7 linked regions of the Sus scrofa genome follow. The protein of the gene in region 1 purifies or fractionates together with the protein of each later gene. This does not show direct contact. Links are inferred from orthologs where the notes say so. Each region holds a gene or a part of one and is shown on either strand. Other genes may lie near its edges.

Region 1 (3,500 bases):
TTATAGGTTGTTAGATTTGTTGATATTTGTAATATCCTCTTACGATCCTTTGTATATCTGTGGTATCAGATGTAATGTCTCGTCTTTCATTTCTGATTTTATATGAGTCCCCTCTTTTTTATTGTTGGTGAGTGTGCACAAATTTTTTGTAAACTTTTTTCTTTTGTACATGTATATTTCATTATTTATGATAGCCAAAAGTTAGAAATAACCCAAATATTCATCATTGGACGAATAGATAAGCAAAATGCGGTATATCCATAAAATGGAATAGTATTTAGAGATAAAAAGGAACGAAGTACTGACATACTACAACTTGGATGAGCCCTGAAAATACTATGTCATGTGGAAAAAGTCAGTCATAGAAGTCTATATATTACATGACTTTTATACGAAAGTCCCAAATTGGCAAATATATAGACACAGAAAATAGATTAATGGTTGCTTAGGCCTGGGTGGGGAGGGGAGAGCCAGAAGGGGAAAGAATAGGAAAATAGTAGCCAAATGACATAGGATTTTTTAATTTATGTGTAATTGACATACAAGGTTTTATTGTTTCAGATTACAACATGATTCAATATATGCATATATTGAGAAATGTTCATCACAATAAGACTATATGAACATGTTTTAATTTCTCATGGATATATATACATTTGTTGTTTGACTTCTCTGTCATAAATGGATTTACCAAAAATGTTTTAATTTCTTTTGGTATAATACAGATTGTACAGTAAATAAAATATTTTAAATATATGGCTTGAATATGTTTTTAATCTTTAAAGTACTTATTTAAAATTGGTGCAATTCTTTTTTTTTTTTTCAGCGAGTATTGAGCCATCAAGATGACACAGCTTTACTAAAAGCTTATATTGTTGAATGGCGAAAATTCTTTACACAGTGTGATATTTTACCGAAGCCTTTTTGTCAGCTAGAGATTACTTTAATGGGTAAACAGGGCAGCAATAAAAAATCAAATGTAGAAGACAGTATTGTTCGAAAGGTAAGTCAAGTTCCTCATTTTTCCCTAATGTTCTTCAGCAATAGGGTGAGTTGAAAACTTTTCAGGAATAATGTACACTTAAATGGGTTTTTCTGCTTCACATATAAATTCCTTTTCAGCTCCTCTTGGGTTTATTGAATAATGTTAATTTTATTTCATCTATTTTTAGCTTCAGTTCCCTTTCATCTTTTATGTGGTCTTAAGCTGTAGATCTGTGTCTTCAGAGAGTACCTCCTTTGCATTTCCTTTTCCTTTCTGCTTTTCCTGGTTTTATCTTTAGTATTCTTTTTCCTTATTCTTTTTTTTTTTTTTTTTTTAGGGCCATATTATTGGCATATAGAAGTTCTCAGGCTAGAGGTTGAATTGGAGCCGATGCCACAGCTACAGCAATGCAGGATCTGAGCTGCATTTGCAGCCTATTCCACAGCACATGGCAATGCCGGATCCTTAATCCTCTGAGTAAGGCCAAGGCCATGCCCTCGTGGGTGCTAGTTGGGTTCGTTAGTCTGAGCTATGACGGGAACTCCTTATTTCCTTATTCTTTCTTTGCACTTTTTCCTTCCTATAAATTAAATTACTTTTTTTTCTATTCAAAAAAAATCTTCCTTTATGAGGAAGATACCTCCAGGTATCTCTATATTTAATTGTGACTAAACTGTTGTCATCTTTCTTTTTTTCTTGATTCTAGTTAATAAACTCAATATGTACTATGTTAATTTTCATGTTTTACATAGTTTTTAGTTAAAAGCTCTGTTAACAACTAATTAATAGAAAGAAATTGAAGAGTCCCAAGTTTCACTTTTCAACTCATCAGTCAATAATGATCTAGTCATGCTGGCCTCATTTATCATATGTGTGTATGTATTCCTACTTGTGAGAACCAAATGGAACCACAGCTTTTAAAAGTAAAAAATGCCATTCGAACTTAAAACAACTCACTGCTTGCTGTGATGACTCTAGCAGCCAACTCAGTCACTCAGGTAGTGGCCTGGAAGCTGTTGCCCCTTCTTGGCCTTAACATTTGTACTAATATGGACAGCACACTCATTAATATGTGTATGCTATTTTCATCATTTAAATAAAACATTTGTAAGGTGGTTTTTTTTTTTTTGGTTTGTTTTTTTTTTTGGCTGTGCCTGTGACACACCAAAGTTCCTGGGCTAGGGATGGAACCTGCACCATAGCAGTGACCTAAGCCACTGTAGTAACAATGCCAGATCCTTAGCCTGCTGTGCCAAAGGGGAACCCTATTCTTTTCTTTCTACAATTCAGTGTCAAACATATTTTCAATTTTTCCTTTTCACATTTATCATGTTTGTACAAATATACATATGAGCATTCCAAACATGTATCCATATTTCTGAAATTCAACCTTGGAACTATAGGGAAAGTAACATATTCCATGTATAACTATATTTAATTTTTACAACAACCATTTGAGATTTGTATTGTTAATTTCACTGTTTTATAGATGAGAAAGCAGGTAAATAACAGCTGGAATTCAAATCCTGTTATGTTTGATGCAGAAACACTTCTTTACCATTATTTACCATGTTACTTACCAACTTTATATATACTACTTTCCTATAGTATTCAGTTGAATGTAGGTCTAAGAATTTTATTTCCTTTTTTAGTGTTTGTACTTAAAATTTTTGTATATATGTAGTATTTGGTATATTAATAATTGAAACAATCACACATTTTGTTCTCTTTTTCCTAGCTCATGCTTGATACGTGGAATGAGTCAATCTTTTCAAATATAAAAAACAGACTACAAGATAGTGCAATGAAGCTGGTACATGCTGAAAGATTAGGGGAAGCTTTTGATTCTCAGCTTGTCATTGGAGTAAGAGAATCCTATGGTATGTTCTGAACTTTTATGATCAAATTTCTTTTTCATGGAAATTCTAAGACAATTACAGAATAGTGCTATTGATGTTATGTTTATTAGCATATAGTCACATCTGCTTTTAGTGCCACATGCTTTTAAGAGTACACAAATTGTATCTTGCTTTAATGAAACTTAGAAGAATTCAAATTCATGTGGTTAATATTTTATTTTCTTCATTACACTAATTTCTTGGCTAGTTAATCTTTTTAGCAACCTAGATTAGAGAAATGTAGATTTGAATCTATAGCTTGTAAGTGGTATCTGGTTTTGTACTTATATTTCAGATATGTTAATAACATGAGTATATTCCTCTCCAGACTTCGGTGTCTGCCAGTGATATTTTCATTTGTTCATTCAATCAAATGTGCCTTTGTCTTCTTTTTTTTTTTTTTTTTTTTTTTTTTTTTTTGTCTTTTTGCCATTTCTTGGGCCGTTCCCGCGGCATATGGAGGTTCCCAGGCTAGGGGTCGAATTGGAGCCGTAGTTGCCAGCCTACACCAGAGCCACAGCAACTCGGGATCCAAGCTGTGTCTGCGACCTATACCACAGCTCACGGCAACGCCGGATCCTTAACCCACTCAGCAAGGGCAGGGACCAAACCCGCAA
Region 2 (4,028 bases), on another chromosome or scaffold:
AGTGCTTTTCTTATCTCTATGTTCTATCTGAAGCATAACTAAACACAACCATTTCCACATGGAAAGTGTTGATTCTACAAAAATAATCAGTGAAACCGTCACTGTCTTGGAATCCTAAATAATTTTATCTTCGAGTATGGGTTTGGCAAGTCCATAGGGAGGACAGACACTCAAAGAGATGATTGAGGTATGCGTTTTCTGCCCTCCACAGTGTTTAAAATACCCCATGAATGCAGAATTCCCAGTCGACCCCAAATGATAGGAATTCAGCAAGACCCAGCTTAAGTACAAACAAAGTGTTACGTCTACCAATTGTGTGATTTCTGTGATTCCACATGAGTTAAATGCACTTATATTCGCCTTTAAAATTGGCTTCGTATAATATAAAGACAGATGGTAAGATGCATGCTAATAATTGAAATTTTTGCTTTTTCCCTTTCTTAGAATATTAAATAGCAAACTTTAGAATGCTATGAAAAGTTGAAACACTGCGGAATAAGGGAAAAGCTTTAGATTCTATAGCCTTTACGGGTAATTTCCCTTCTGCTTTTTGAACTAGTGATGTGCGTTTTCAATTTGCTTTGGGCTCACAAATCCTGCGGCTGACCCTGCAGCAGGGCGGCCTAGGCAAGGGCAGCAAACCAAAGTATAAATAAATAACGCACCATACAACGTTCGTTAGGACTGCGCAGAAAACTGAGGAGGCCAGGATGGCTGGAGCAAGTCGGAGGGATCTGGGGATTTGATCTGTGAGCGATGCCAAAGACTCTGGATTGTTAGGGATTTGAGCAGAAGAATAACAAGACGACTTAGGTTTCAAAAAGCATCATTTTGGCTGCGGTGGCTGTCCGGGAGTAGCCTGGAGGGAGGCGGAGTGAGGTCCGGAGAGGACCGAGCTCAGGCCCTGTCGGGTGGTCCACGCTGGCGCAGCCGCTCTCGGATGGGGGGCCTGCAGGAGGGGAGCCCCCAGGAAGGACCGCACCGCCTGCACCGAAGCGGGAGGGCTGCTGAAGGAGGAGGCGGGGGGAGGAACCGAAAGCTGGGTTTTGAACTTTAAAATTTCCGTGGCCTCAGAGTAAAGGCAGCGAAGAGTCCGCAGACCGGCCCCAGTCCCCGCCCTCCCTGGCTCCGAAAGCCGCGTCCCCAGACGCCAGGCGAGTCCTCCAGGACATAGAGTGCACGGGCCAGAGCGGCAGCGACCCCGCCAGGCCGCAGCGACGTCTAATGACGCGCCGGAACCGATGATGCGCCTGCGCACGGGAGCTCGGCGGCGACGGCGGCTTTTACGTCATCGCGGGCGCGACGCCCGGAGGGACAAGTCTGGGGTCCAGCTAGAAGGGGAGGTACGGCGGCGGGACCGGCCGGGAAGATGCCAGTGGCGGTGATGGCGGAAAGTGCCTTTAATTTCAAAAAGTTGCTGGATCAGTGCGAGAACCAGGAGCTGGAGGTAGCCATTCGCCTTTCGGGGTCGCGCGTGGCCTTGTGCGGCGCCGGTCTCCAGGGTAACGGGGCCCGAGGCCCAGGGCCCGCCGGGCTGGGGCGGGCGCGGGGCCGGGCGTGTGGAGCCCGGGACGCCGGGCCTGCTCCTGGCTGAGCATCCAGGCCTCGCCTCCCCGAACTTGCTGGGGGCTTTTTGTTGTTTTGTCTTCAGCCAGTGAGCCCGAAAATGCTGTGCGTCTTTGCTCCTAACACTCTCCAATATGCTTCTCGGGTTAAAGATGTTTCCTCCCCGTCGTGGGGAGAGGTGAGGGAGTCTGTGTGCGCGTTGTAGCCTGTTCCTAACTCGGAAAGTCCTTAGTCTCATGTCGCGGAAGCTTGCCGTCTTAGCTTCATTAGGACTGGTGAAATTATTTCACGAAGGTCTTAACAGTAAGGGTTTTTTTTTTTTTTTTAATTTTCTTAGAAAGGCACTTACAAGCATGTACAGTATCAGTATAAAAAGTTAATTAACCCAAAGAGACTACTGCCAGAAGCAGCAGCTCACTAATAGACACTTAACAGATGATTTTCTGAATAAAGTTGAACAAGGAGAGAAACGTCTTCGTCATTCAGCTGTGACATTTCTCTCTTCGTTACTCACTTACCTAGATTTTCAACATACCTGGTGTAACGGGCAGAATCATCATACTTGAGGAATCTGTGGGAAATACTCTTGTAACAGTAAGGCCATTTAAATAAGAATTTGAGAACTGGGAAAGGGATCCCACTGAAATGTTCCCGTGCATATATAAACTCAGTGGCCCAGAGGGAGATAATTCATAGCTGGTGACAGATCTAAACTTATCACTCTGGCTTTTAGTGTGTGACACTCTCTTTTTCTCCATCTGTAAGGGTAAGTACTATGAAATATGCTTACTTTTTAGATGCTTTGAAAAATACAAAAGTATACAAATAAATGAGCTTTTTCTCTTTTGTTTTTGGCTTTAAAGGCTCCAGGAGGAATTGCTACACCTCCAGTGTATGGTCAGCTTCTAGCTTTATATCTGCTCCATAATGACATGTAAGTACTTTCTACCTAAAGCTAAGAGAAACAGCTTCCTGAAGAAATTATTCTTGCGTTGAAGTAGCATCACTAAAACATAGACAGAAGGAGCTTTACATTTTATTGTAATAGTATATTTATTTCATATACTGAATCATGGCTTAAATCGTGATTAGGCTGAGTTAAAATGCACTTCTTTTCTTATATCTTTCTTAAAATTTTTCAATCTGTTACGATGAACTACAGTGTCAGTAAATTCCTTTAAATCTGTTAGTCTCTTCTCTTTTGTTTTGTTATGAAATGTCTGTCTTTTATGACCTGTTTACTTAATGTCACATGTGATCGATAGACTAAGAGAAACCGAAAGGGAAAATTGAGAGAGCTAAGAGGAATTTGTTACTGTCATGTATGCGATTTCTTGAAAGGTTTTGTTTTTAATTATTCCTCATTCACGTTCATTGAAGACAAGTCAGTATAACTGCGCAAAAAAGAGTCCTTATGTTCTGAAAGCCATGATTACTGTTCAGTTTTGTTTTAAAATTCTTGTAAACCTTCTTATTTGGCATCTTTTAAACTAAACTGAGATTTTTATTACTCATCTATTGTATAAATTATGTTTCTTGTTTTATAATCATGTCATTATATGTTTGTTATCGTTCAAGATTCCAAACTCTTAAAAAAAAAAAAAAAAAAAAGAAACCAAAAAATCCTGCCTTGAAGGTGTGGTGGCTCTGTAGCCACTGGTAGGAGGAAGGGTCATGAGATGGAGAAAAGCACTGTGTACCTGTATACTGTCAGGGAACAGCAGTGCCTTGAAAGTGTATGAATCTGTTTATTTTTATATATGACTAAATTATTTAGGTAGTCCTCTTTAAGTCTTTGTACTGTAACCTTAATTTAAGATCTGGATTATTAATTTAAAAATTCACTAAAAATGGCAAAATGTTACTTTGGTAAAATATTTCATGTCTTTTTATCTGGGAAACCGCTCTCATTTCACCTGGACAAAGTCATGTACAACTAAATTTCACCCTGTTTAACGTAGAGTATTTCAGAGTATACTTGTGTGTGTTTGCAGTGGGATCTAGAATTTTAGACATTTACTAGGATGATTTTTCTAAATTGCTTCTTCTTTCTTGGGGGATATAAATTAGGAATAATGCAAGATACCTTTGGAAAAGAATACCACCCGCTATAAAGTCGGTAAGTACTCTTGTGATGAATCTTACTACTTTACTGTAGTAATGACATTCACTTAAAAAGCAGTTTCAGCGAGTTCCCCTTGTGGCTCAGCGGTCGCGTATCCGACCAGCATCCATGAGGGCACGGGTTTGATCCCTGGCCTTGCTCGGTGGGTTAAGGATCCAGCGCTGCCATGAGCTGTGACATGGGTCAAAGACGGGCTCGGATCCTGTGTGGCTGTAGCTGTGGTGTAGGCCGGCAGCTGCAGCTCTGATTCGTCCCCTAGCCTGGAACCTCCATAGGCCTCAGGTGTGCCCCCCAACCCCCCAAAAGCAGTGTCTTACGAATTCTCTTGTGACTCAGC
Region 3 (2,214 bases), on another chromosome or scaffold:
TTTCTAGCTGAAGCCCGGAATCTTCCCCCACTCACAGAGGCTCAGAAGAATAAGCTTAGACACCTGTCAGTTGTCACCCTGGCTGCCAAGGTCAAGGTGAGTGACAGACCCCCCAGTCCTGAGCCAGGGAGCACTTTTTTGTGTCGGCTTCACAAGGGCCCATCTGAAGGGAATTGCACTGGGACAGCTTTGACCACAGTGGTGCTTCTTCCTGTTTCCCCACATTCCTCCAAGGTCTGTGTCTTACTCTGATACCTGTGGCCCTTTAGGTGGAACGTTATTCTCCCAGCTTTCTATTTTGTTTTTCTTTTTTTTTTTTTTTTTTTATTGCTTTTTATGGCCACACCCACGGCATATGGAGGTTCCCAGGTGAGGGGTCGAAGCAGAGCTACAGCTGCCTGCCTGTGCCACAGCCGCAGCAGTGCAGGATCCGAGCAACATCTGTGACCTGCACCACAGCTTATGGCAACGCTGGATCCTTAACCCACTGGGCAAGGCCAGGGATCGAACCCACAACCTCTTGGTTACTAGTCAGATTCATTTCTGCTGTGGCACAACCAGAACTCCTCTATTTTGTTTTTCAACCCACTTATGTTCTAAGTAAAACATCTTTTGTGTGTCAGGTCAGAATAGCAGCTAGGATGCCACTCACTGTGTTATTCCTCAGCCCATTCCTCCCACTGTATGAAGTCCGTGGAAGCAGCTGCAGTGGCCAGAGCTGGGACACACTCGCTCCTGGTGACGTAGCAGGCTTCTATTTGCTTGAATAAAAAATACATAACCCAGAAGCATCTTTGTATTTCCTGTTGGGTTCCATTCTTGTTAACTGTTTGCCCATCTGCATCTCCCAGTTGTTCCCTGACTCTCCCATCATCCCCATGGTTTGGCTTAAATCAGGCTCACTGCCTCTTTGGAAGGAGACCGTGTATAAATGATAAACAGAAGAGCTCCAGCCTCTCCTCCACCACAGCGTCCCGTAGGTCAAGCTCGTCTTGACCACATCCGTGTACTGTCCTGAGCTGAGCCAGAGGGTTGACACCCAGGCAGATGTCACCCTGTGGTGGGCTGGGCATTGAGGGGAGCATAAATGTTTTCCTTAAGATTGTCCTTTTTGGAGTTCTCCAGTAGCCTTGCAGGGTAAGAATCAGGCGTTGCCAGTGCTGAGGTTTGGTTCCCTGCTGTGTCTCGGGTTTGATCCCTGGCCCAGGAACTTCCCCATGGTGTGGGTGTGCCTGAAAAAAAAGTTGCAGAAAGGAAAATAATATTAAAAAAAAAAGTTCCCATTGTGGCTCAGTGGCATAAGAACCTGACATAGTGTCTGTGAGGATGCAGGTTCAACCCCTGGCCATGCTCAGTGGGTTAAGGATTTGGCGTTGCCACAAGCTGCTGTGTAGGTCGCAGATGCGGCACGGATCCGGGGTTGCTGTGGCTGTGGTGTAGGCTGACAGCTGCAGCTCTGATTTGCCCCCTAGCCTGGAAACCTCTGTGCCACAGGTGGGGCCGTCAAAAAAGACAACAACAGTCATAAATACATAAATGTGAACGATTCTCTTTCTTAGGATGTTATTTATCAGGTGGGAATACTTTCATTTATTTTGCCTTAGAACCTGCCTTTTACGGAAAGTGATTGAGGAGGAGGACTGGAGGGCGGGCAGTGGGGGAAGGAGGGAAGAAGAATCTTGGAAGCCCTTCTCTGTGCGGAACCTCACAGACCGCAGCCCGACCTCCGGGCCCCAGTGTATCCCATATGCAGTGCTGCTGGAGGCCCTGGCCCTGCGGAACGTGCGGCAGCTGGAGGACCTGGTCATCGAGGCCGTGTACGCCGACGTGCTTCGCGGCTCCCTGGACCAGCGCAACCAGCGGCTGGAGGTTGACTACAGCATCGGGCGGGACATCCAGCGCCAGGACCTCAGTGCCATTGCCCGAACCCTGCAGGAGTGGTGAGACCTGGGTCCCGGCACTGTCCCTCCTCTGCTGGCCCCAAGAAGGGAGGGCTGCTTTGGTGGAGGCCGGGGGTGGGGGGGGGGGGTGGCTGGGCGGCAGAGGCACCCCCCAGGAGCCTGAAGAGGAACTGGGAGGAGGAAGGGGGGGTCCTCTTGAGGGGATCCTCCCTGGGGGGTGGGCCAGGCAGGATGCAGTATGACCAGCGCTGTCCACAGGCCTTGGGCCTCTCTCACTTCTGTTTTCTCTGTGTTCTTATCTGACTTGGGTTCG
Region 4 (4,156 bases), on another chromosome or scaffold:
CCCTGTTCGGTCCCCATAGCCGGACTGAGGACGCTTTGGATTGGGCTTTCTTGCTAAGACTGTTCGGCTCTTGGGGGCAGGGGAGCCCTTTTCTACTCATTTTTTATGTTTAATCATAGACACATGCGGTTGGCTTTAAACTTGTCTCTAAACGTTTTCTACTTTCCTCAACAGCTCTGGTCTCTGGCAGGTGCTGGACAGGAGAGGCTCCTGAGTCCACATGGGAAGGGGTGGGGGCTGGTGAGACCCAAGCTGCCATGTGAACGGCTGGGACTGGCACACCTCTTCATAACGGGCTTTCCAGAATCATGAGGTCATCAGGGGCGTTCCCGTTGTGGCCCAGTGGAAAACGAATCCGACTAGGAAGCATGAGGTTGTGGGTTTGATCCCTGGCCTCACTCCGTGGGTTACGGATCTAGCATCACCGTGAGCTGTGGTGTAGGTCACAGACACGGCTTGGGTCTGGAGTTGCTGTGGCTGTGGTGTAGGCCTGCTCCAATTTGACCCCTAGCCTGAGAACCTGCGGGTGCAGCCCTAAAAAGCAGGGGGGACAAAAGTGAAGTCATCAGGGCTCCCCTGTGGGCCTCGAGGTTGCAGAGGTTAAATGTGAGGCCCAGGGGTAGATACCTAAACTCCAGAAAAGTACCCCAGGCCCGGTCCCCTTCCTGCTAGGCTACACTTCCACCCACAGTAACAGAGCTCTTGGTCTAGGATCTTGCATGGGTTTGATTATCCCCATTTCACAGATGAAGAAATTAAAGTTCATTGAGTCCATCAAGGCAGAGAAAGGGGAAGAAGCCCCCAGCTGGCAGGGAGAGGAGCTTCCAGGGGACAGAGGCTAAGGAATTGCCCCATCGCCCGTCAGGGTGGATGTGGTCCAGTCGGCGGGGGCGGGGGGGGGGGGGGGGCAAGAGCCAGGCCAAGCCGCGGTCTGACCCAAGCTCAGGGGGGCCAGGGGACACCTGGAGTTCGAGACCCCTCCACTGCCGCAGAGAGTTGGGCAGGGGTCCGGCCGCTGTGCGCAACGGGCGGAGTTCGGACGGCGCCCAGCGGCCGCGGGCGGGATCGCAGGGTGGAGCCAGGCCGGACCGGGAAAGGGCGGGCCAGCGAAGGGCTGGGATCCCGGTGGACTGCAGGTCGGCGCCCTCCATTCTCCAGGGACCCCCGCCGCACAAGATACCCCCAAATCGCGCTCCCGAAGGCGCTCGGTCCTCCCGGACGGCAGAGGGCGCTGTCACCCCGACTCTCTTTCCTGGGCCGGAGGGACCGGAAGTGCAAGTGCGAGAGTCACTTCCGGCGCGGAGCAGCGGGTTGGGCTGTGTATGAGGCCGGGTTCGGGGACTGGACCAGTAGTGGCCAAACCTGGCCAAGACCGCGGCTGCCGGAACGCTCGCAGTCGGCGTCTCGGCCTCAGCGGAGGGTGCGGCCGCCGCAATGCCGTTCCTGCACGGCTTCCGGAGGATCATCTTCGAGTACCAGCCGCTGGTGGACGCGATTCTGGGCTCCTTGGGGATCCAGGACCCTGAGCGGCAGGAACCCCTGGACGGGTAACTCGCTCCCTGCCCCCCTCCGACTCGGCACTGCTCCCCCTTCATTGTCACGACAAACATGGCGGGGCGGGCGGTGTCCCCACCTAACAGATGAGACCGAGACGCGCTGGGGGAAGGGTGCTCCGGGCCAGCGCCCGGAGGGCTGGAGGGTGCGGTGTTTGCAGGGCCTTCGCCTCAGGGCCCCACCCTGCACCCTGCCTGTCATGTGCCCTCCACCTGGAGTTGCAGGGCAGCCGGGTGGCATCTGTGAGCAGTGCGAAGTGAGCTTTCTGTAGCCGAGTTTGCAATTGTACATCCAGGCGCGGGTCTATCCGTGAATCTCTGGGAAGGGTGTTAGAAAGTGAATCGTTTGCGGTACATCAGTGAGCTAAACAAACTCCCAGCCTTCACGATGCTTATGCTCCAGAAAAGAGAGACTGACAATCGTTAGTAAAGTGTTTAATGCCTTAGGTGGAACAGAGGAAAGAGGGATCAGGTGTCTGTTTCTGGGATCAGCTGGAATTGGCGGGGAAGCTGGGTGGGTTGGGGCAAAGGTGCAGAAGGCTTTGCTGCTCTCAGCCTTTGGAAGACGGGGAGGCTGACTGACTTTGGGTGTGAGCAGGCAGGAAGTCTGCTGACTGCCCTGGGCTGGTCCCGCAGTGTCTGGTTCTCACTCTTGGCCACAAGGGTTCCCTTCAGTGCCAACAGTCCAGGTGTATGAGGCTTTGTATCCATGCCAGGGGCCAGATTCTCTGGGCAACATGGAAGGAGGCCGAAGACAACCCCTGTCCTTTCTTGGTAAACCCGAGGCATCTGCTCCAGTAGAAGGATCCAGCTTGGCCCTCTCTCTGCCACAGACCTTTTCTGAAGAGACTTTCTGCCCTGCCTTGGGGGAGTGATTTGGGGGGAGACGGGGGGAATGACATCAGGAGACCAAAGGCCACCCACCCACAGGGTGCCCAGCCAGCTGGTCCCACAGCTGTTCCCACCCTCAACTAGTCCCCCCTCTCCTGCCCCAGACCCAGTTATGTCGCGAGTGAGGAGAGCCGGATCCTTGTTCTCACTGAGCTGCTGGAGAGAAAGGCCCACTCTCCCTTCTACCAGGAAGGCGTGAGCAACGCCCTGCTGAAGATGGCCGAGCTGGGGCTGACCCGTGCCGCTGACGTTCTCCTGCGGAATGGAGCCAACCTCAACTTTGAAGGTCAGCTGGAGCCCAGAGGACCTGGGGTGATAGGTGGCTTAAGTGTGGCCCTGCTCTGGATGGGCGACCAAGCCTTCAGGCTTTTCTCAGGAGCTACTTGCCTCATTTATTTATTTCATGGGTGGTGACCAAGGACAGCCACACTGGGTGGCCTCCCGTCCCCTTGTGGGCTTTCAAGTGGCCCTTAGCCACCTCAAGTCCAAGAGCGAGTTTGTCGCTGTTTCTACCATGAGATTGACTTAGCAGACTCCTCCCAGCTCCCAGCTAAATCGCTTCCATTAATGTGAAAAAGTGGCTGCTGGCACTGTGCCCAGAGCTAAGTAAGGAAAAGTAATTTTCTGCCACTCATTCTGAGGCATCTTGCATTTTTGTTCCTGTCATAGGGAGAGGGGAAAACGGAGAAGACACATTAAGCATAAATCACAGCAGAACCATGCTGGCATCTAGCTTGTGTGCTGGGGGATGGAGACGGGGCCATTTTCGGGGGGGGGAGGTCAGCCAGGAGACTTGCAGACCCTGACTTATAGCCACAGGGGTTTATTTATTTATTTTTTTTTCTTTTTAGGGCTGCACCCGTGGCATATGGAAGTTCCCAGGCTAGAGGTCAAATCAGAGCTTTAGCTGCGGGCCTATGCCACAGCCCCAGCAACGTGGGATCTGAGCCAAGTCTGCGACCTGCAGCTCACAGCGATGCCGGATCCCTAACCCACTGAGCGAGGCCAGGGATCAAACCCTCATCCTCATGGATCCTAGTTGGGATCATTAAAAACTGAGGTTCCCCCGACACGGGGGGGGTTTCATGGTGACACAGGATGTGGCCAGGATGTCCCCCCTCCCCGGCGTAGGACAGGCTCTGAGGCTGCTGGGCTCCTGGAGGTTCAGAGAGCTGGGGTGGGGGAGGGATTTCCCTGGTAGTCCAGTGGTCAAGATTTGGCTTTTCCACCACCGTGGCCTGGGTTCAGTTCCTGGACTTGGAACTGAGATCCCACATCACAGTGACCATTAAAAAAAAAAGGAAAAAAAAGTAGCTGAGGGGGCCAGGGTGGTGGGGTGCATTCTGAAGTCAGTCGCTTGGAGACCCAGCTTGGAGAACCTGGTTTTTATCGCAGGGCTGAAGGAGCTGTCACTCTGAGTGTTCTGCCCAGCAAACCCGTTTTGGGTCCCATTTTACAGAAGAAGAAACCAAAGCCCAGATGTAGCACCATGTCCGTTAGAAGGCCCCCAAGACCTAGGCCTGACTCCAGAGCCTGGGCTCTAGCACCGGCTGAGGGCAGCTGTGTCCTGCCCCCTGGTGGTGGCGGGAGCCCGGGCCTCCTTCCATCAGTGTCCCAGAGGTGCTGGGACCTGTGAGAATGTGCTGTCGGGCAGGCAGGGCTGACTGGCTGCGTCTGCGCCTTCAGACCCGGTCACCTACTACACGGCTCTG
Region 5 (3,500 bases), on another chromosome or scaffold:
CAAACAAATGATCTGAGCACATTTGCCAGGCCGCACGCTGTGGCAGGTGCTGGGAACAGAGGCGAGCAAACCACGCCCAGCAAGTCACTGCAGCCCTGCCTGTCCTGTCACGCTTTCCTGATGGGCCCGGCCAAGGACGGGTCTTGCTTCTAAGATCCTGTAACTTGGCGTGTTCCTCCAGTGTTACAGTTGCGTTGTTTTGAATTATTTGCCCACCCCCACCCATGGCCGTGAACTGCTCCTTGTCCCATCCAGTTGTCCTTGTGCACAACGGCGGCGGCGGCGGCAGCAGTGGCTGCTGAATGGATGCTGAGGGGAAACGCCCAGCCCGGGCCCCCTCCTTCCTGCGGATGCTGGGTTTGCCCTGTTCTCCTCTTTGTAGGGCTGGAGGCGCTCCATCTGCCCTTGGGGCTTTGCTCCCCTCGGACTGACCTTAAAGCCACTTTCCACTCCCTCCCCCCACCCCACCCCCAGGCCGGAGGGCAGCTGTTCATCACTACAGGGGAGACACCCTAGGTCCTCTCCTTGGGGCAGCAAACAGGAGGTGCCCCAAGCTTGGCTTCTACATTCTGTGGGAGTCAGACCTTCCTCCACCTCGAGTCCTCCCTTCAGCTCCCTGGCCCGTGACCCCCCCCCCATGGGGTCACACAGATGGTACAACAAGGGGCAAAAAAGACCCCAGATAGACCCCACTTCCTGAGTTTGTGCTGGCCTGATGCTTAGTGCCTTTAATTTGATTTTTTTTTTTTTAGGGCCACACCTGCAGCACATGGAGGTTCCTAGGCTAGGAGTTGAATCGGAGCTACAGCTGCTAGCCTACACAATCGCCACAGCAACACGGGATCCGAGCCGCATCTGTGACCCCCATCACAGCTCACAGTAACACTGGATCCTTAAGCCACTGAGCGAGGCCAGGGATTGAACCCACGTCCTCATAGATAACTAGTTGGGTTCTTGACCTGCTGAGCCATGACAGGAACTCCCACTGAATTTCCATAACCCGGTGGTGAATGAACGGTATCACTATCCCACTTCACACGCTAGTTCTCGCCCAAGCTGAGACATGGCTGCGCTGGTTCTCGGACCCGAGCCGGCTGGCCCTGGAGGACCCTGAGCCCCACACCACTCCGCTCCCCTGCAGGCTGGGCGGCTGCGGGATGGCTGGGGGGACGGGGTCTCAGGAGGGACCGACATCCACACGGAACCCAGGAGGCTATCAACCGCCCAGGAAATAAATTCACCCGGGACAAGGTTCACACAGCGCTGTGGCTAAGACCTGGGACCTCTGGCCGAGGGGAAGGAGTTTGAGCGACAGGGACATAGAATGCAGCACTAATACAAGGAAAGGCGTATCCTGAGAGGGGTGTGTTGTGATGCCGTCTGGGGGGCCTTGCCGGGAAGGATGTGTCAGCATAGCCCGGCTCTGCTGCCACTTACGGCGTTTGAAGGGTGCCAGGAAGGCTGCCCTGCAGCCCAGCTGCTCTGACAGGGGCTGAGACGTTCGCTGTGCAAATGTAGTTTGGGTTCGGGGAGTCTGCACGCGGGGTTCGTGCGCACCTGGCCGAGCCGGTGAAGGAACCTCAAGCTCGCAGCACAGGGAGCCAGGGCTCGGGGCTCCGGGCCCCAGGGGCAGTGACTCACCTGGTGCTTCTCGTCTGTCTTCAGGTCCCAGCTCAACTCCCGGCCCCATCCGGGGAGGCGGGAAGGCTGTGTCCAGCCGGGAGCCCCTCAGCACTCGCCCCACGTATTCGCTGGCCTTGGGTCCGACGTTCTACGGGAAATGGGAATCTGTGATCAGCTTAGGCTGCTGGTCTGGGTGGGTGGGTGGCTCTGGGAACCCCGACAGTGACCACTCTCTAGTCCACTTCCGCCGTGCGGTGGGCAGCAGGTGTGGACTGTGGCACAGTAGGGCCTGGTGGGGACAAACGGCGGCCCCTCGGGGCACAGACGATGGTCGAACTCAGCGTGGGCAGGGCTGAGATGGGGCAAGGCTGTCTGCAAAACTGACTAGATTTCAGCCAGGAAAGGAACAAGTAGGTGTTATTTAGGACGAGAGGGAGGGGGACAAGGGGGATGGGGAGAGAGGCCAGAGGTGGGGAGGAGGGATGTCTGAAGCCATGGTTCTCAAAGTGTGGTTCCCAGACCGGCTGCATCAGCATCGTCTGGGCGCTTGTTAGAAATTCACATGCCTCACACCTGTCAGAATGGCCATCGTTAGAAAGTCTACAAATGACACGTGCTGGAGGGGGTGTGCAGCAAGGGGAACCCGCTGCACTGCTGGTGGGAATGTAAATTGGTACAATCACTGTGGAAAACAGCATGGAGGTTCCTGAGAAAACTATATATAGAACGACCGTACGACCCCGCAGTCCCACTCATGGGCATATATCCGGACAAAACTTTCTTTGAAAACGACACATGCCCCCTGCATGTTCGTTGCAGCACTATTCACAACAGCCAAGACATGGAAACAACCCAAATGTCCATCGACACACGACTGGATTAGGAAGATGTGGTGTATACACACATGTCCTCCGGGGCTTTTCCCTGCGCAAACACATCCCTGGTATGTGCCCCGATCTCTTCTCATAAGGACACTGGTCAGACTGGATTAGCGCCCAACCTGATGGGCCTGGCTCTAACTTAATTACTTTTGTGAAGGTCCCATCTCCAAATACAGCCACATTTTGAGATGTTTGGGGTTAGGGCTTCAACATGGGAATTTTGGCCGGGGGAGGGGCGGGAGGAGACGCAGTTCGGTTCATAACCAACTGTATGCCGACAAATTAGATAAAGTAGATGAAGTGGACAAATTCCTAAAAAGACACCACGAGCTACCCAAACTGACTCAAAAAACAAAGAAAAAATTAGAACGTCTGGGAGGACGTGTAACAAATGAAGAGCTTGGATTAGTAATTTAAAAACCTAAAAGAAAGCCCAGGCCCACTCAGATGAATTTGACCCAAGAGTTAAAGATTTAATACCAGTTCTTCATAAACTCTTCCAAAAATTCGAGACTACTTCCCAACTCATTCTCTGAGGCCAGTATTACACGGATACCCAAACTGGACACATACAAAAACCACAGGAAAAATGACCCTTAGGAATATAGACTCAGAAATCCTCAAAATATGCACAAACCGAATCTAGCATCACATGAAAAGATTATACACCATAACCAGGTGGAATTTCTCCCAGGACTGCACAGTAGGTTTAACATCTGAAAATCAACCCGTGCAGTACACCCCTGAGATAGAATTAGTGAAAGAAAGCGGGCACAATCATTGCAATAGATGCAGAGAAAAGTACTTAACGAAATCCAACACCCTCTCATGATGAAAACACTCAACACACGAGACACTGGAGAACTTCTTTGGCCTGATAAAGGGCTCTGTGAAAACCCACAGCTCACAAGACGCTTCGTGGTGAAGGAATGAAAGCTTTTGTTCCAGGACCAGGAACAAGGCCAGGAGGTGCCTCCCAGCCCTGCCACTCCATGT
Region 6 (4,089 bases), on another chromosome or scaffold:
GTTGGTGGATATTTGGGTTGTTTCCACTTCTTGGCTATTGTGATTAATGACGCTGTGAACAGTCACGCACAAGCTTTGTTTTTTTTTTTTTTTCTTCTTAGGGCGATACCCACAGCATATGGAGGTTCCCAGGCTAGTGGCTGAATAGGAGCCACAGCAATGCAGGATCTGAGCCATGCCTGTGACCTACACCACAGCTCACGGCAACACCGGATCCTTAACCCACTGAGCAAGGCCAGGGATCGAACCCACAACCTCATGGATCCTAGTCGGATTCTTTTCCGCTGTGCCGCAAGGGGAACTCCTAGAGTGAAATTCTTTATTTTTTAATCCAAAAAAATTTTATGGCCACACCTGTGGCACATGGAAGTTCCTGGGCCAGGGACTGAATCTGAGCCACAGCTGTGAGCTGCAGCAGTGCGGGATCTTTCGCCCATTGTGCCAGTTTGGGGATCAAACCCATTCCTCCCCAGAGACCCAAGCAGCTGCAATCAGATTCTTAACCCCCTGTGGGAACTCCAACAGTGAAATTCATGAGCTTGTTTTTGAGAACTTCTCCCGACTAAATGAAATATGGAATTACTTACTAAGTTGTCCAACCTCCCTGCCAGAGAGCTGTCACCCTACATCCTAGGTGCCACAAGTAATGTTGCCAATCTAATGGGTGAAGAGGGTATATTTTGCTTTACTTTCTATTTTGCAGAATAAAATTGTATCTTCACAACTGTTCACACCTTTTCATAACCTATCCATTCTGTAAACAACCCAAAGTCACTTCCTCCTACAGGCTCCCCCGGACCCTCTTCCTGGGCCCTCCTGGGTGCCCCACCTGGCCTGACCCCGACTCTTCCCAGGGTGGGCGGCTCACAGCCAGTGCTGCCGTCGTCTCTGGGGCTAGAGGACGACATGCAGGCCGACCCCCTTTCTGCAGCGGCCTTGAGAGCCGCGCTGTCACCTGCAAGACTTGCCCAGGGAACGGGGCAGACGCGAGGGGCGGGGACAGAGCTGCGCTGGAGTCCCCGCCTCGCCGCCTGCAACCAAGCCTCACCTCGCTGCCCCTGCGCCCCGACCCAGGTAATTCCAAGTTCCTGCCACCGCCTCATTTCACCGTCCCTACCCTCGCGCCCTGCCTCGTCTCCCCGCCCCTCACCCGCGCCCCCACTCACCACCTTCCCCACAAGAAACCCGGCGCCCGCCCCCACCTCACCATCCCCCGGCCCCGCCCCCGGCGCGGGAACGGAAGTCCCGTCTACCCGGCCGCTCCGAGCGCCGATTGGTGGATCTTGTCTCACTGCGCCCTCGTCACGCCCCCTCCGTGGGGAGGGCGCCTTTCCGGGGGGCCGCACTGTACGCGCCCGGGTCTCTGCGGAAGCTGCGGCCGCAGCTTTCTAGGAGGTTCAGCCCTGCCATAGTCACCCGCGTCACCTCACAACGGGGACCGCCACCGTCCCGCTCAGTCCGCGGAAGTAAGGGGGTGTATGCAAACAACCTGGAGGTCCAAGCTTCTGATTGGTGAGCGTATAGGGGGCAAGATGGGCGGGCTTAGAGGGCCATGAGCGACGTGTAGGTGGTCCAGTAGCTCTGGGAGGATCGGCTGCGGTGGCCAATGGCGAAGCGGAGGGGGCGTGTTAGGGCCCAGGAGCTGCGGGGGCAGTGGGCAGGTTTGCCGGTGAGTCTCGGATGCTCTGCGGGAATCGGCGGGGGGTGGGGGGCGTAATGCTGACGGACAGGCAGGCGGATCAGAGGGTCCCGGAAAGCGAGAGGCGAGGGGCCAATGGCAACAGCGTGAAGGCGGGGCGGGGCGACTGGAGTCTTCGCAGAACTGAGTGGGAAGCGATGGAGGCGGGGCAGCTTTGATGGACGTGCTCACGGGCCAGTGGCCGCGCGGGAGGCGGCGTGCGACGTACAGCAGCAGCGTAGGGGCGGGGCAATGATGGGGAGGAACGACCCGAGGTCTCGCAGCGCTGTATGGGAAGCTGGGGGGGCGGGGGCAGGGGCGCTAGCAGTGCTGACGGATATGCGCAGCGGCCAATGGCCGCGGGAAGGGTGCGGCGGACGACCAATGGTGGCGCGCGGGGCGGGGCGGGGTGGCGGGGCTGCTCGGCGCCGTGCGGGAAGCTGCGGGGCGGCGGCGGCGGCGCTGAGGCGAGGCGAAGGGAAGCGAAGCGGGGGCGGTGGAGCAGGTGCGGGCGGAGCGGCCTTGCCGTCCGCCGGCCTCGCTCACCCGCGCCCGCGCACGCAGGTCGGTCGGAGGCCTCCGCCAGCGGGCTCCGCGGCGCCGTGGGCATGCGGGTGCGGCCCGCGCGCGCGTGAGCGAAGATGGGGACGCAGGGCAGCCCAGTCAAGAGCTACGACTACCTGCTCAAGTTCCTGCTGGTGGGCGACAGCGACGTGGGCAAGGGCGAGATCCTGGAGAGCCTGCAGGACGGCGCAGCCGAGTCTCCGTACGCCTACAGCAACGGTAAGGCCGGCCGGCGGGCCGCCGCGCGCACCTGGCTCCGCCCGGCGACCTGCCGTCCGCCTCGCGTCTCGGGCCGGGGCGGGGGAGCTGCGGCTCGAGCTTGTCGAGGCCCTTCTGGGGCCCGCGGCGTCGTGGGGGCAGAGATCTGGCCGAGGGACTCCTGAGGAAGAAGGGCTTTTTCTTTGGTCGCGGGGCCTCACCAGGTGTGCCAGGTGTGCACAGCTGGGCGTCCTCAAAGCAGGCCGTTGGCTCAAGGCATCCCTTCCTTGGGCTGGACGAAAACGCCCGATCCGGACGGGGTTAAACGTTCTTTCCACGTTTCTGGCCGTGCAGCCAAAACACACAAGAGCTACAGGTCTCTGGCACCAGTGTGAGGTCCTCTCTTTTCTCGCAGTTGACGTGGGTCCCCCGGGGGGCCGTCGGGCTCCTGGAAGGGCCGTCTTTGCGAGGAGTTTTACTCCTTGGAGTCCGGTCTTCCGCCTCCTCTGTAGCTTTGTCGCTCAGAGTCTGGTCAGTCCTGCCTGACTGCTGTGAGCCTTCGCTGCTTGCTGAATTCCTGGGCTCTGGCCGCCAGCGTGTGGCCAGTGCTTCTTGACCCTTTCTCCCCTTAGGACGCGTCAGAGTCGTCGGCTTACCTGGGCCGGCCCTGCGCCCTTCCTGCTAAGCACGGAGCGAGGGGCAGGGGTCTGGAGGGCCCAGCCCACCGGAGCGCTGGGTGGTGTTGTAGGGAGGGCGAGGAAGTGTGAGGCCCCCAAGGGTGTGAGAGGGAGGCCTTGGGGGGCTGAGTCGGTCCCTTGCCCGCCACAGTCAAGCGGTCCTCTGGAGTCAGACGGGGGGTGGGCGCCTGAGCTGCTTTCCCAGAGATGGGGATGCTTTGAAGGGGGGCTGGGCTCCATCAGGGCCTCAGCGGCTTCCCAGGACGAGGACTCCTGGGTCTGAGCTGCCTCCAGCCGGGCGCAGCGAGGCAGCTGGAGCGAGTGGCCCGGCCTCCTGTCCCTGCTCTCGGGGGCAGTGTGCTGCCGCTCTTCTCGTGACGTGTTGAGTCCCGCCCGAGGAGAAGCACGGTGGTCCAGCGGGAGGGCCAGCTGCCAGAAGTGTGCGGAAGCCCCTGGGCTGGCAGGGCGGCGAGGGTCCTGGAGGTTACGATGTGTGGCACATGCAGTCAGGGCGTCAGCTCGGAGGCTCCGGGGCCAGTGCCCTTTCTCAGGGCGAGGTGGGTGGGTCTGAGGGTACTTCATTCTGCTGCCCTGAAGGCTTCCTAACTGGAGCAGTTAGTTCTCAGCGTTCGGCGCATCTCGAATTTGCTTTGTGTTTTTGGGGAGCTTTTGATCTCTGATTCCCTTGTGGCAGATGCGTGTATCTTTTTCTTTCCTTGTTAAGAGTCAGTACATCTCCGAGCTTCTTGTGCTTGGCTTAACCTTTCGGGGTCAGTCTGGCCAGGAGCAGATGACCAGTGGCAGGGAGGTCCCTTCCCATTGAAGGGCGTGTATCCAACACCCTTCCTTGGGCCAGGCAAGTTATTTCTCGCATTGAAGTCTTGCCTCACCTGTTCCGCAGCAGGTACCTGGGACACCTGACTCTCCCCAGCCTCGTAGACACAGGAGTCGTTGCATGGCCTTTTATCGTGT
Region 7 (4,178 bases), on another chromosome or scaffold:
ATAACAGAAATGAAAGGAAGCCCCTTAGACTATCACGATGCCTCTGCCAAACATTTCACATGAAATGCTTCTTAAACATAAGCCATACCCAGATTTCACACTCTATTTCTGTGACTTGGGGATATAATCTCCTGCTATTTCAGGCTCTGGAATCCAAGAACTAAAAGAAGAAAAATGCTAAGGAACTAAGGAAATTCTGAAGGGGAATCTGGGCCCAAGCTAAACTTGGCTGCTGGAAAAGAGAAGCCATAATTAGTGCAGAACTTTAAAAACAAACAAACAATAAACCAGAGGCAAGAGGATCCAGCTTCATCTGGAATTGTGTCTGCCCCTGGTCTTTCTCAGTGAAAAGGTCTGTGGATCAAAGCGGACTAACTGAACATTGGGATATGTTTGGATAATCAGGCCAAGTGGAAAGATACTTGCTATGGGCTTCTTCTGTGAAAGGAGAATCATCTTAACATAGGATGGAAGCTATGATGACTGCAGCTGGCGGTAAGCTTGGGACTGTCCTGCCCCAGAATCCATCGGCCTAAAAACTTTACCTGGCTGCCCTAGGTCTTTGCTGGGTTGCTATGTCTTACCATTTAGGCCTTGGTGCTGACGTCATCTTCTCAAAGACCTTCCTGGCCTCACTACCCAAAGTGGCCTAGTCACTTTCCCTTTGCTCTGTTGAATTTTCTTTATAACCATCACTCACCCATCTTTTTTTTTTTTTTTTTTTTTTTTTTTGTCTTTCTGCCTTTTTCTAGGGCCACTTCCCACGGCATATGGAGGTTCCCAGGTTAGGGGTCGAATCGGAGCTGTAGCCACCAGCCTACGCCAGAGCCACAGCAACGCGGGATCCAAGCCATGTCTGCAACCTACACCACAGCTCATGGCAACGCCGGATCCTTAACCCACGGAGCAAGACCAGGGATGGAACCCACAAATGAACTGGTTCCTAGTCAGATTCATTAACCACTGAGCCACGACAGGAACTCCCCCATCTTTTGCTTGATTGCTTACTTGTTTTTATGCAATTGCTGTTTCTCTCTTCCCCTCCCTCACTCCAAACTGTTCACTGCTATTGGGCTGCGCTATCCAGTACAGTAACCACTAGCCACACATGGTGACTGACCTTTTGAAATGTGGCAAGTCCAAATTAAGATGGGCCATTTGGTACATAAGACACACTGTATTTCAAACTTAGTACAAAAACAAAAATCTAAAAATTTTCAATAATTAATCACTACATGTTGAAATGATATTTCATATATGCTGAATTGACAAAGATAATTTTAAAATTACTTTCAACTGTTTCAATTTTTAAAAATTTTTTTTTAGCACTGCACCTGTGGCATATGGAAGTTCCCAGGCTAGGGGTCGAATGGGAGCTACAGCTGCCAGCCTACCACAGCCACAGCAACACCAGATCTGAGCCACGTCTGTGACCTACACCACAGCTCATGGCTCCGAGCGAGGCAAGGATCGAACCCATGTCCTCATGGTTACTAGTCTGGATCATTTCCATTGAGCCACAACGGAAACTCCCGGTTTCAATTTTTTTTAAATGCAGCTACCACAACATTTCAAATTGCCTATAGTGGCTCACAATATATTGCTATTGGCCAGTGTTGGCCTAGGGAGTGCCTGGCACATAGTAGATACTCAATAAATATCTGAATGAATAAATACATTCTAACCACTGCTCTGAAGATATCTAACTGTTGTCCATTGTGATCCCATTACAATGGGCTTTATTCAGTTTCAAAAGAACTTGGCCCTTTTTTTTTTTAAACCGTAGCTTGGCAGCTCTCAACAATTCTGCCCACATCCCAAAACACAGTCATCAATCATGAGGAAAAACCCAGAACTGGAAACAGATTCCTGCTAAAAAGGGAGGCTAGCTCCATATCACTTTCAGATATAACTAAAAGGAGTCAATGGAATGACAGCGGAAGCTATAAAAAGATTCAAAGATTTCAGGCAAACAGTAGGGGCCATTTAAAAAGTTCTATGGGTAACACGCTCACTGAAAAGAAAGCCCTTATCTAGATAGGAAGGCTGAGAGAACTACCTCTGCACCTAGCACTGAATGCCTGACTCCAGCAAACAAAGAAATGTCATTTCCCAAATTAAAAAGTTAACACCACCCCAGGGAATACCCCGATTTCAACCTACCATCCCCCCTCCATCAAACAAGCCAGGGAAAAACACAGACATCCACAATCAGAATCCTCCAGATCAAGATGAAGCTTGAACTTCACTGGAAGAATTAAAAGGGTTTCTGGAACAAATCCTGAGCCCAGGCCTGACCCCTTCTGAGGATTTCCCCTAAAGAAACTTTGCCTTTAAGCACGGGAGTATTCAAGAGCTGGAACTCCCAGAATAAATCACAAGCCCACCCCAAATTTCTATATTAGTGGGGTTTAGGGGTAATGTGGTTGGAAGGAAAAAGCCTGAAGGGCGTGCCTTTGCATAACAAGTACACCATCCCCACTGAGACTGTTCTTTCATTTGGGCTGACCCTGCGAGGGTATCCAATATTCTCTAACTTTGATACCGCTTTCTGATGACAGCTGTTAACAAGAATAGAGGTAAGCACCTCACTCACCGGTGTTTCCTAAACTTGTCCCATCATCCGTGTCACCAGGGATCAGCATCCCAGTTCCACCCCCACCTCGACGAATCAGTCTCTACTGGGAGAGGCTCACAATATATTTTTTCAATACGGACCCCAGACCCCATTTTTATGCAAGTTTGGGAAGCCCCCAACCACCCCCTAAGGCAGATACTATTATTAGCCCATTTTGTAGATACAAAACGGACTTGGATTAAGTGGCTTGTCCACAGGCACACCGCTTGGAAGGGGCAGAGCGGACTCTCATCCAGACCTACAGCGCGTCACCTGGCACCTGGGCACCCACATCCTCGGGTATCACTCCCCACGTCCCACTCGGACCGAGGCGTCGGGATCCCGGCGCCCCCCACTGTGCCAGGGGGGTGGGAAGCCGCGCCACGCAGAGGCCCGTCCTCCTCCGGTCCAGTCGGCGGCAGGAGACGGGGTGGCGGCCTCTGACAGCGAAAGCGAAACAAAGCTGGGCGCCGGGCGCGCACCCCGCCCAGGAGACGCGGACAGCCCAGGCCCCGCGCCTCCGCCGCCCCCGCCCCGACCGAATCCGCGCCCGCGCCCCACCCCCGGGAACGGGCCCGGCTCCGTCGGCGGGGAACGCGCGCCACGGCCCCCACTCACCTCCGGCCTCCATGAAGGACATGCGCGGCCCGCGGCAGGCGGCGGGCGCCTCAGCCCCCAGGGCCACCGGCCCTCATGCCGCCGCCGCGCCACCCGCCCCCGCCCCGGCCCCGGCCCCGGCCCCGGCCCCGGCCCCGGCCCTGCAGCCGCCGCCGCGCCCGCCGCCGCCCGGAGAGGCCATCAGCTGCTTCCCGTCACATGGCGGCGGGCGCGGGCGGGGACGCGCGGGGGCGGGGCTGGGGGCGGGCGGGAGAAAACCCTGGAGCCAGCTGCGGGAAGAGCGGGGGCGGGCAGGTGGAAGCAGGAGGGTTCGGCCCTGGGCGGGGGAGCCGGGCTGACGGGAAAGGGGGGGCAGATGGAGGCCGACGGGATCGGCGCGGGGAGGGGGAGTGGGTCTGATAGGAAGATAGGGAAGGAACGAGGAAAACGGGGTTGGGGGGTGTGGAGTGGATCTAACCCGGGAAGAGGCGGGGGTTGCTGGAGGAAAAAACGGGGTTGGGGCGGGCAGGTGAACTGGGGCAGGAAAAAAATCGAGGGGAGGGTCGGGGAGCGGGGCTGAGGGGAAACGAGCTGGAGGAGAAAATGGTGGGGGGAGAAACAGGGGGCGGAGGGTACACCGGTAAACCTGGGAGGAGCCAGGCTCAGGGAGATCGCAGGGATGGGGTAGAACCCGGTTGGGGGAGAGTTGGGAGGAACAGAGTGGGAGGGGAGTGACACGCGTCTGGTAAAGACTGAAGATCGAGGGAGGTGTGGGTAACAAAAAAGGGGATGTACGGCGGGGCTGAGGGGAAAACGAGGGAGGGACTACGGAAAGGCACTGGAGAGCTGAGGAGGAAACTGAGGGTGATGGGGCAGCGTGGAAAGGGATGGGAATCAGGTAAAACGGAGGGGCGAGCAGGCAGGAAGGAGGACCTGAAGACACCGGGGATCGGAAGAATCGAGA

Evidence for each region.
Region 2: the proteins of CUL5 (region 1) and COPS8 purify together in Homo sapiens (affinity purification with mass spectrometry; 3 studies listed by BioGRID and IntAct, with this or other methods). This does not show direct contact. The link is inferred for Sus scrofa from reciprocal best matches to the Homo sapiens genes CUL5 and COPS8.
Region 3: the proteins of CUL5 (region 1) and COPS7A purify together in Homo sapiens (affinity purification with mass spectrometry; 3 studies listed by BioGRID and IntAct, with this or other methods). This does not show direct contact. The link is inferred for Sus scrofa from reciprocal best matches to the Homo sapiens genes CUL5 and COPS7A.
Region 4: the proteins of CUL5 (region 1) and ASB6 purify together in Homo sapiens (affinity purification with mass spectrometry; 6 studies listed by BioGRID and IntAct, counting the BioPlex papers as one, with this or other methods). This does not show direct contact. The link is inferred for Sus scrofa from reciprocal best matches to the Homo sapiens genes CUL5 and ASB6.
Region 5: the proteins of CUL5 (region 1) and ASB13 purify together in Homo sapiens (affinity purification with mass spectrometry; 4 studies listed by BioGRID and IntAct, counting the BioPlex papers as one, with this or other methods). This does not show direct contact. The link is inferred for Sus scrofa from reciprocal best matches to the Homo sapiens genes CUL5 and ASB13.
Region 6: the proteins of CUL5 (region 1) and RAB40C purify together in Homo sapiens (affinity purification with mass spectrometry; 5 studies listed by BioGRID and IntAct, counting the BioPlex papers as one, with this or other methods). This does not show direct contact. The link is inferred for Sus scrofa from reciprocal best matches to the Homo sapiens genes CUL5 and RAB40C.
Region 7: the proteins of CUL5 (region 1) and WSB2 purify together in Homo sapiens (affinity purification with mass spectrometry; 3 studies listed by BioGRID and IntAct, counting the BioPlex papers as one, with this or other methods). This does not show direct contact. The link is inferred for Sus scrofa from reciprocal best matches to the Homo sapiens genes CUL5 and WSB2.

The regions. Positions count from the first base shown.
Region 1 is NC_010451.4:36,450,806-36,454,305, forward strand, and holds part of CUL5 (cullin-5), read left to right. Parts: intron 1-826; coding exon 827-1,003; intron 1,004-2,723; coding exon 2,724-2,865; intron 2,866-3,500. UniProt on the Homo sapiens protein: Core component of multiple cullin-5-RING E3 ubiquitin-protein ligase complexes (ECS complexes, also named CRL5 complexes), which mediate the ubiquitination and subsequent proteasomal degradation of target proteins.
Region 2 is NC_010457.5:136,826,994-136,831,021, forward strand, and holds the start of COPS8 (COP9 signalosome complex subunit 8), read left to right. Parts: upstream 1-1,228; 5' UTR 1,229-1,369; coding exon 1,370-1,447; intron 1,448-2,429; coding exon 2,430-2,500; intron 2,501-3,636; coding exon 3,637-3,685; intron 3,686-4,028. UniProt on the Homo sapiens protein: Component of the COP9 signalosome complex (CSN), a complex involved in various cellular and developmental processes.
Region 3 is NC_010447.5:63,972,257-63,974,470, reverse strand, and holds part of COPS7A (COP9 signalosome complex subunit 7a), read left to right. Parts: intron 1-7; coding exon 8-96; intron 97-1,737; coding exon 1,738-1,940; intron 1,941-2,214.
Region 4 is NC_010443.5:269,831,407-269,835,562, reverse strand, and holds the start of ASB6 (ankyrin repeat and SOCS box protein 6), read left to right. Parts: upstream 1-1,356; 5' UTR 1,357-1,434; coding exon 1,435-1,547; intron 1,548-2,548; coding exon 2,549-2,730; intron 2,731-4,130; coding exon 4,131-4,156. UniProt on the Homo sapiens protein: Probable substrate-recognition component of a SCF-like ECS (Elongin-Cullin-SOCS-box protein) E3 ubiquitin-protein ligase complex which mediates the ubiquitination and subsequent proteasomal degradation of target proteins.
Region 5 is NC_010452.4:65,285,464-65,288,963, forward strand, and holds part of ASB13 (ankyrin repeat and SOCS box protein 13), read left to right. Parts: intron 1-873; exon of another isoform or gene 874-1,237; coding exon of another isoform or gene 1,238-1,771; intron 1,772-2,442; coding exon 2,443-2,566; intron 2,567-3,500. Other genes in the region: uncharacterized protein LOC106505208, read right to left, coding at 1,238-1,771. UniProt on the Homo sapiens protein: May be a substrate-recognition component of a SCF-like ECS (Elongin-Cullin-SOCS-box protein) E3 ubiquitin-protein ligase complex which mediates the ubiquitination and subsequent proteasomal degradation of target proteins.
Region 6 is NC_010445.4:41,157,297-41,161,385, reverse strand, and holds the start of RAB40C (ras-related protein Rab-40C), read left to right. Parts: upstream 1-1,289; 5' UTR 1,290-1,478; coding exon of another isoform or gene 1,479-1,512; intron 1,513-1,552; exon of another isoform or gene 1,553-1,669; intron 1,670-2,242; 5' UTR 2,243-2,319; coding exon 2,320-2,461; intron 2,462-4,089. UniProt on the Homo sapiens protein: RAB40C small GTPase acts as substrate-recognition component of the ECS(RAB40C) E3 ubiquitin ligase complex which mediates the ubiquitination and subsequent proteasomal degradation of target proteins.
Region 7 is NC_010456.5:34,608,152-34,612,329, reverse strand, and holds the start of WSB2 (WD repeat and SOCS box-containing protein 2), read right to left. Parts: upstream 2,801-4,178; 5' UTR 2,646-2,800; coding exon 2,597-2,645; intron 1-2,596. UniProt on the Homo sapiens protein: May be a substrate-recognition component of a SCF-like ECS (Elongin-Cullin-SOCS-box protein) E3 ubiquitin ligase complex which mediates the ubiquitination and subsequent proteasomal degradation of target proteins.